Ovis aries: one gene and its partner. Each later gene encodes a partner of the first gene's protein in a complex. Links are inferred from orthologs where the notes say so. Each region holds a gene or a part of one and is shown on either strand. Other genes may lie near its edges.

What was found. The genes of interacting proteins can lie anywhere in the genome.
Region 2: POLR2L (region 1) and UBTF share a complex: the UniProt entries of both Homo sapiens proteins name them as parts of the pol I pre-initiation complex. The link is inferred for Ovis aries from reciprocal best matches to the Homo sapiens genes POLR2L and UBTF.

The regions. Positions count from the first base shown.
Region 1 is NC_056074.1:46,914,577-46,918,817, forward strand, and holds POLR2L (DNA-directed RNA polymerases I, II, and III subunit RPABC5), read left to right. Parts: upstream 1-1,741; 5' UTR 1,742-1,775; coding exon 1,776-1,870; intron 1,871-3,253; coding exon 3,254-3,362; 3' UTR 3,363-3,511; downstream 3,512-4,241. UniProt on the Homo sapiens protein: DNA-dependent RNA polymerase catalyzes the transcription of DNA into RNA using the four ribonucleoside triphosphates as substrates.
Region 2 is NC_056064.1:43,759,320-43,763,492, forward strand, and holds the end of UBTF (nucleolar transcription factor 1), read right to left. Parts: intron 3,524-4,173; coding exon 3,476-3,523; intron 3,155-3,475; coding exon 3,083-3,154; intron 2,986-3,082; coding exon 2,842-2,985; intron 2,760-2,841; coding exon 2,634-2,759; 3' UTR 498-2,633; downstream 1-497. UniProt on the Homo sapiens protein: Recognizes the ribosomal RNA gene promoter and activates transcription mediated by RNA polymerase I (Pol I) through cooperative interactions with the transcription factor SL1/TIF-IB complex.

The sequences.
Region 1 (4,241 bases):
ACGTGTGCTGGTGGCCTGTGCCACCACGCTGCTCAGCAATCCCCTCCTGGGAAACCAGGGAGCTGCAGGGAGGAGTCCCCCCCGCCTCAATCCACACGCAGTTCTCGGAATTCCAGGAATGTCCACTTGGCTCTCCCGCCGCCCCCCAGTCTCTGGGAGTAAACAGCCACTGCGCCAGAACGAGGTGCGGTGGACCACGGGGCCCTCCCCCAGGAAGCCTGCACGCACCCACCCCCGCTCTAGAAGAGCCTCCCGCCTATCCCCCTCACCTCTGCAGACGCAGCTGCCTCTACAGCTGAGCCTGGGTCCACCCCAGGCCACTGTGACTCAAGGCCCCATCCCAGCCGGGGACAGGATGTGCGTCCAGTCAGCTTGGGAAGGGGGGGCAGGCAGGGCAGGGAAGTGGCTTCTGCTCGTGGCTCCGCACGTGGCAGGGTGGGGGACGGCGAACCCCGCTGGGGAGGGTGGCCAGAGCCAAACTCCAGACGCAGAAGTGCTGGCCAGCCTCCCTGGGACCTCCACTCCCAGCCCCTTGACTTACAGTCAGAGTCCACCACCCACCCCAGGTGGACTCTGAGCTAAAGCCTGGGACCCAACATGGTGGGCCCACCCCCACCCCCCACCCCAACCAGAGACCCTGACGCCCCAGGCCAGCAAATATGAGGAGACCCTGCCTAGGTGCCTAGCCCACCCTCCTCAGCCCAAAGCTCGCCTCCTCCAGGGAGCCTTCCTTGCTTCTCAGTGCACACAGCCCTCTCCCAGCCGCCAGTCACAGGATCAGGGGGCTCACCTCTCGCCACTTCCCGAGACACAGCCCCCGCCCCCGCCCCCCCCCCGCTCCCTTTAAACCCCCACCGCCTCCAGCTCCCACAGCTTCTGTCCCGCACGGACGGGTGTCTGTCCGGCTCCCTCTTTAAGTCTCAGCTCAAAAGACACCCCGAGTGCCCTCCCGACCCTCAGAGCCGGCGCTCCCGGGTCACTGGCGCCCGCCCCTGCCGAGCGCGGACTGGAGCCTGGGCCGCCAGCGCCTCCCCCGGGAAGAAGGCAGGAGGGGGGGCCAAGCTGACCGCGGCGACGGCCGGAGCCCCCACCGGCTGGGTCGCCCCGCGCCGCCCGCCTGCAGGGATACGGGCAGCTACCGGGCCGGGACCGTTACTGTGCAGGCGACCCGGCCAGGCGGCGACCTCGAGGGTCCCTCGGACTCTGCGCAGAGACCCCCGAGTGCCCGCGGGCAGCGGCCCCAGGCGGAGAGGCCGCCCCCTGCCCGGCCCCTCCGGCCGCTCTCCGCGCCCCAGACCCGGCTCGCAACTTGTTGCTGAAACGCGGCTCGCGCTCTGCGCTCGGGGCCCCAGTTCGCGCGGGCCCGGCCGCACTCCGCCCGCGGCCCGGCAGGGGCGCTGTACCTGCCTCGCGCCCGCCGCGCGGAGTCGGTCGGCCGGGCACGAGGAACGCGAACGCCGCCGCCGAGCCCTTGCGGCCCCGCGCGGACGCCGTAGGCCGGGACGTACCAAGGCGCGGGCGGGGGGCTCCCGCCGGGCCCCGCCCCCGGCCCCGGCCCCCGGGCCCCGGCCCCCGGGCCCGCGCCCGCCGGAGGAGCCGCCGTCGCGGCGGGAGGCGGATGCCGGCGGCGCCGGGGCCGCGGGGAGGTGCACGGGGCGGGCCGGGCCGGCACCCCCGCGCCATGGGCGCGCCATGGGCACGCCGGGGCGGAAGCGCCGGGGGATCCGGGCGTCGGGCCGCCGGGCCGCGAAGCTTCTAGCTCCCGCGCCGCCGCCATGATCATCCCCGTTCGCTGCTTCACGTGTGGCAAGATCGTCGGCAACAAGTGGGAGGCCTACCTGGGCCTGCTGCAGGCCGAGTACACCGAGGGGTGAGGGGCGCGCTCCCGGCCGCCGGCCTGCGGGGCCCGGGGCGGGGAGGGTTTCCCAGCCTGCGCGGCCCGGGGCGAGGACAGGGGCGCCCGGCCTAAGGGGAGGGTTTCCCAGCCTGCGGGGCCCGGGGCGGCGGGACGGGGGCCCGGCCTGCGGGGCCCGGGGCGAGGACAGGGGCGCCCGGCCTAAGGGGAGGGTTTCCCAGCCTGCGGGGCTCGGAGCGAGGACACGGGGGCCCCGGCCTGCGGGGCCCGGGGCAGGGTCAAGGGGGCCTAGCCTGCGGCGTCGGCGTCTCGGGCGGCTGTCGAGGATCCAGGCTTGAGGGGTTGGGGTCTTGAGGCGGCAGTCAGGGGTCTTGGTCTCCAGGTCAGGAGCAAGGGACGTTCATCAGATCCCAGGTGACGCCGGCAAGGCTTTTATTCCCGGAGCCTTTGCCAGCCCTGTTCTCCAGACCTGCTCTCAGGAAAGCGTCTCCCACCCCCCAGTTCAGGCAGACGAGGGGAGCTAGTTGTCAAGCGCTGGTGTCTGGGGACTCGAGTATTCTGGCTCCACGCCTCCACCGCAGATAGGCCCCTGGCCACCTCTGTCCGTCAGCTCCCTAAGTTCTCCCTGCTATTAGGCCCACCCCGTGTCCTCAAAGACACTGATGCTGGGCAAGATGGAAGGCGAAAGGAGAAAGGAGCGGCAGAGGAGGACGCGGTTAGGTAGCATCAGCAGCTCAATGGACAGGAGTTCAAGCAAACTCTGGGAGATAGAGGAGAACATGAGCTCAGCGAGCTGCAGTCCATGGCGTCACGGACACGACCGAGCGGCTGAACAACAAACCGTGTCTTGCAGACTCACGGGCTTTTTTAGTACATAGGACAAGCTTCTGATCACATAGCCGTCATCATCAGGCTTTTGTGGGGTCCCTTTTCCGTGTTTGCCCCTTGGCACTGCAGTTACCGCCTTACTTGTCTGAGTTTACCCTAGACAAGAGTCTGACTTTGGTCCTTGTGTGGACAGCCCCATCCTTATCAAAGTGTGAACCTCTGGGACCTGGAGTGTGGTAGCAGGTGAGGTTCTCCGTGTAGCTGTGTTGGGTGGATAGGGAAGCAACGGACGGCCGTAGTATCTGCACCAGGCTTCGAGGAGGCTGCTGGAATGACCACAGTGCGAGTGAATGCTGGCAGCCTGCCCCAGACTCCTCCCCGAGATGCCCCAGGCCAGGGCTGCCCAAGCGGCCGCCCCTTTTATGGGTGCCACGCTGGTGCCCACACACAGGAGGCTTTGAGGGTGACTGGGGCCGTGTCTCTGGGAGGTGAGGGGGGCTGCTCCCCCCGGGCGAGGCCCTCTGTCTGCCGGGAGGAGCAGGCTGCAGCCAGATCTCTCCCCACCTGCAGGGACGCCCTGGACGCGCTGGGCCTGAAGCGCTACTGCTGCCGCCGCATGCTGCTTGCCCACGTGGACCTGATCGAGAAGCTGCTCAACTACGCTCCCCTGGAGAAGTGAGCCCGCGATGCCGCAGGGGGCGTCTCACCCATGGCTTGTTCCCCTGGGGTGTGGGGCGCCGGAAGCCACGCCCGCCCACGGCTCTGTTGGCGTGGGTCTTCCTCCCTGGAAAGAACTGTCTAGTAAATGTTTCTGAGGACTGCCAGGAAGTCCTAACAGTTGGTCTGGGTTTGTGGGCTGCCCCGCCGGTTCCTGGGGTTCTACCTGGTGCCCGAGGCCCGCACGGCCCAGGAGGAGGGTGGGCCTTCCATACGGGAGTGCTCAGCACGGGGCTCCCTTCCTCTGTGGGCGCTTGGCCCCACAGAAGACACAGATGTCACGAGTGCTTGGGGTGGGGGCACCGGCGTCCCACAGCGCTGTTCTGGGTGCCCTTCAGCCGAGAACAGAGGTCCCCACTTCCTCCCCCGGTATCTAATGCTCCAGACTTTCTGCGCTCTGAGTGGAGTGCTCCCTGTGGTCACAGCTGCGCATCCTGAGGTTGCTGCCGCCAGAAGCTTCCAGGCTCCACCCACAGCAGGCAGGCAGCTCCACTCCACCCCTGAGACCCCACAGCAGGTGGGAGGTGCCCTGAGGCAGCTCTCCTGGGCATCTGTTCTGAATGGGCTCTCAGTGCCCAGGCGTTAAATGCGTTGCCCTGAAAACCAACTAGAGAGCTGTCTGGCGGGGGCGGGGGTGGGGGGCAGCTCATCGCGGTCCAGCTTAGGCTGAGGCTTCAAACCAGAAGCTGTTGCTTTGGCGGGGCTCAGGCAGGCCCTGGTGCCTCCAGCAGCTTAGAGGGCAGGAGGGAGGCGGCCTTCCTGAGGCCACCTGCCCAGGCGTCTGATGGGTGGTCTCTGCAGAGACCAGGCCCAGCACCCTTCTCTGGCCCCACCCTGCCCT
Region 2 (4,173 bases), on another chromosome or scaffold:
GGAACCCAGCCGAGGCCTGTGGAGGGAAGGCTGTCTTCCTTAACCTCAGAGGGTGAGTCATCTTGGCCCAGCCCACTTCCCATCAGAGGTCTGGGTCCTTTAGGAAAGTCTTTTCTCACTCTGGTGAGGTTGAGGGCTCAAGGTTACCCCAACTCCCAATGATTAGCCCTTACATGATCAGGGTGAACCCCTGACCCTAATGGTTCATCACCTTCATTTTTCAAGGCAGTGCATGCTGGGAGAAAATTTGTTTTCCAAATTCTCAGTCCTTAGTGGTCTGACTACCTAAGTTAACAAACTGAATTGAGAACGTGCAAGAACAGTAGCACAAAACAATGTGAAAATAGGTTGCTATGGAGCCTTCAGGAATGAGGAAGATGATTCTAGAAAGAAGAGGCAAACAAGTTGCCTTCAAGGGTCTTACCACACTGAGCCTGTTGGGTCACCTCTGCCACCACTCCCACTTCACTGAGTCCAGTGATCAGACAGCAGTCAAATCTTTGTATTTTTACTTTATTATACAAAAAAAGGGAAAACAAAACTTCCACAGTTGGCCTTAAGCTTAGGCAGACACCTCTAAGCCATTCCCTCCCACCTCCCATGATACAAATTCAAGTTGTGGTTGTTGTTGAAACCTACAAAAACACTTCTTAAATATTAGAAAAAAACGGGGTTGGGGGGGAGAGCAGGGGTCCTCCCACCCCAGTCATCCCATCCCAGTGCCAAAATGCACTCAGAGTGACCTCTTACAGCACCCACACCCCCACCCCCACAGCTATGTTTGTACTGTAAGAATTTTTCAATTTTTAAAACAGGAAAAAAAAGTGCCCCAAAGTTGTTTTTAAATGAAAAACACATTCCACTAAAACACAACAGCGCAGGGGCACTGGAACAGGGAAATGGGGCTCTCTGCAGGGGCTCTTGAGAAGAAATAGAACCTATGAACCCCTGTACCTAATTCCAGAAGCAGGACAAAGAAAGGGGAGTGGGGAGTAGGGAGTGTCCCCCACTAGCTCCTCCCACCCCCAGCACCACATCCGAGAGGCAAAGCAGATTATCTACCTTCCTCTGTGAGCGGGACCCACCTTTCCCACCACACCTCCTAGACAAGAGTTCTTCCTCTTGCCTTTCATTCAGAGGGGGAGGGTGGAAAAGCACAAACCCCCAATTAAATAGGTCACTGACATGATTGTTTAAAAAAATTTTGATCAAAAGCAACAACAAAAATTAAACCCACAGAGACTAGGTGGCTTGGCTTTTTGAGAGTCTAGGAATCAGGGTTCCAAAATCTGGGGGATGGCTGGGAAGGGTTAGGACAGCTGTCAAAGCAGCTTTTGCAGACCTCTCCCTCAGCTGTGGGTTTGGGGAGATGGGGTGGGGAAGGGAGCTGACCTGAGAAATCAAAGGAAATGGGGGTGGGGTAGCTGGAGGATATGGGGGGCAGGCAGGAGGGGTGTCTAAGAGCTTCCAACACATCTCTTGAAGCCCAGGTTCAGAGCCGACGGCAGCTAGGTGACCCCTCAGATGAGCTGGAGACACCTTTCCCGCCAAATAAAATATTTAAGGTTCACCTAGTCTGTCCCCCTCCCCACTGTCCTGATGGATACTGGAGACTTGCTGTAGCGCCAATGGCCCTGGCTGAGGGAGACCAGCAGAGGAAGCACCAGAGTGGCTTCAGTACACCCGAACTGAATCAGAGATCAGGCAAAGCGGAAGATATGGAGAAAAGGGCCACCCCAACCTATCCCCACCAGGGTCAGCGTCTCCATAGCTCTCACAACCCTTTTACCTTCTCTTACACACACAAATACACGTGCCTTTGCACACATCCACAGGTGCACCCATGCTATGTACAGGCCACAGGCATACACACACGCACACACGCGCACACACACACACTTTTCCATACACATCAAGACCGTTTTAAAAAAGCCCCAAACCTACCCTCTAAACCCTCCCTCTCCCAGAAATGACAACAGAGACGGCAGCCGAGATCGGTAGGAAACGTCTCGTTGACAGCTCAGAGCTTAAAAAAAAAATATATACACATATATAAAAAACACTTCTGCCCCCTCCCCCCCGCCCCCGTGAGTGGGTCCAGGCAGCTCCTTCCCGCAGGGGGCAGGGAAGAAGAGGGCCATGGGGCAAGGCCTATTTCTTCATAGGCGCCAGCCCTCTTCTCCCATGTTCCCTGCCTCCAGTTCCAATGCAGGGATCCAGGCTGCAAGCCCCTCTGGAAAGAAAGGGGTCTTCCTCAAGCTTCCACCCTCCCTTGGGTTGGGCTGCAGGTGTAGGGGGCCTCACTGAACTCTTTGGGAACCCCGACCCACTCCCGGGTCCATTGTCCATGCCGGAAACCGCAAGTGCAGAAGAGGGGGTGGGCTGGACCAGTCCGGTGGTGGCTCAGTCTGATGGGTACGCTCCCTGGAGGGCCCCCCAGGGCTGATGTCTCTGAGGCCGCAGAGTTCTGGCCTGGGCGCCTCCAGCGCCTACCCCCCACCGTGTTTTGTTTTGTTTTAAAAAAAAAAAAAAAGAAAGAAAGAAAGTGGGGGAGGCCAAGGGGCAGGGGACAGAACATGGGGGAGAAACAAAGGTGTTCAGCCGGAGAAGGGAGCCCCGGGTGGGGCTGAGCCTCAGTTGGAGTCAGAGTCCGAGGAGTCCCCCGAGGAGGAGGAGCTGGAGCTGCTGCCCTCGGACTCGTTGTCCTCATCCTCGTCATCGTCCTCGTCGTCGTCCTCATCCTCATCGTCCTCCTCATTCTGGGCGACAAGGAAAGTATGGTCACCAGGGGGCCGTCCTGGCAGCCCCTCCGCCCCGCCAACCATGCCCCATCCACCCCACCTCATCCCCATCCTCGCTCTCATCCTCGCTGCTGGACTCGGAGGAGTCCCCGCCATCCTCAGAGGAGTCCCCGTTCTCATCATCTTCCTCCTCCTCATCCTCTTCGTCTTCATCCTCATCCTCTTCATCATCATCCTCAGACTCCTGGGAGGGATGGAAGCACATCGGTGGTCCCTGCCATGCCACTCAAGGCACCTCAAATCCCCCCACCCAGCCCCCCGTTCTGGGAGGGGCTCCTTACCGACTTAGATTGCAGGGCAGTCCGACTGGACTTGGGGTTTGGGCCTCGCAGCTTGGTCATGTTCTTACGTTTCTGTAGGAGGGGATGGGGACATGGGCAAAGGGAGTAGCCAGGAGTTCTGTACTGCTCCCCCCAGAAAGTGAAAGTCGTGTCCAACTCTTTGTGACCCCACGGACTTGGGCTCCTCTGTCCATGGGATTCTCCAGTCCAGAATAATGGAGTGGGTAGCCACTGCCTTCTCCAGGGGATCTTCCCAATCCAGGGATCAAACCCAGATCTCCCGAACTGCAGGCGGATTCTTCACCCTCTGAGCCACCAGGGAGCAACCCCCTAGCCCCCACCCCCACCACAAGTTCCCTCCTTATCCCAACAGCACCCTGCTCCCAGACTCACATTAGAGATGTACTCTTTATATGCCGCACGTTCCTGGGGAGACAGACTCTGGGGGAGACAGAGGAGGAGGTGAGGGCGGGAACATGACTCAAACTACTGCTGACTGAGCACACTGGTCAAGCACCAGGCATCATCATGCCACCTGCGCCCATCCCAGTCTCCTTGGGTCTCTGCAGAGAACCCTAAGGACCTGAGAACACAGCTCAGTATTTCTGCTTAAGATGCTCCAAAGCCTTTTCTAAGCTACCCCGTCCTAAGACTGCTTTCATGTCTGTCCTGTGCTCTACCCAAATGGAGGCTCCAGAGTCAGGGCCTTCCTCAACTCAGAGAAGCACCCCCGGAAGACTGCCCCAGAAGCCAAGCCCAGAGCCACTGCCAAGGCAATCTGGGGCTCACCAAATTGTCTGGAACCCTTAACCCCTGCTATTCCCCCTGGGTCCTTGGCCAACCCACCTGGGTGGCTGGGGAGGACACTGGTGACTCTCCCCACTTTACAGATCCGACTGCTCAAGCAAGGCACAGAAGGGGAGCTCAGAGGCTAGAGGCTGAGCCAGAGTCTTGGAGACATCCCCTGGTCCCGGCTGGAGGGAGGAAAAGTCAGTCTGACTTGGATCTTCCTACTCCCTGGCTGTGTGACCTGGGGTAAGTTACTTCACCTCTCTGAGCCTCAGTTTCCTTCTCTGATAGTAACCATTACC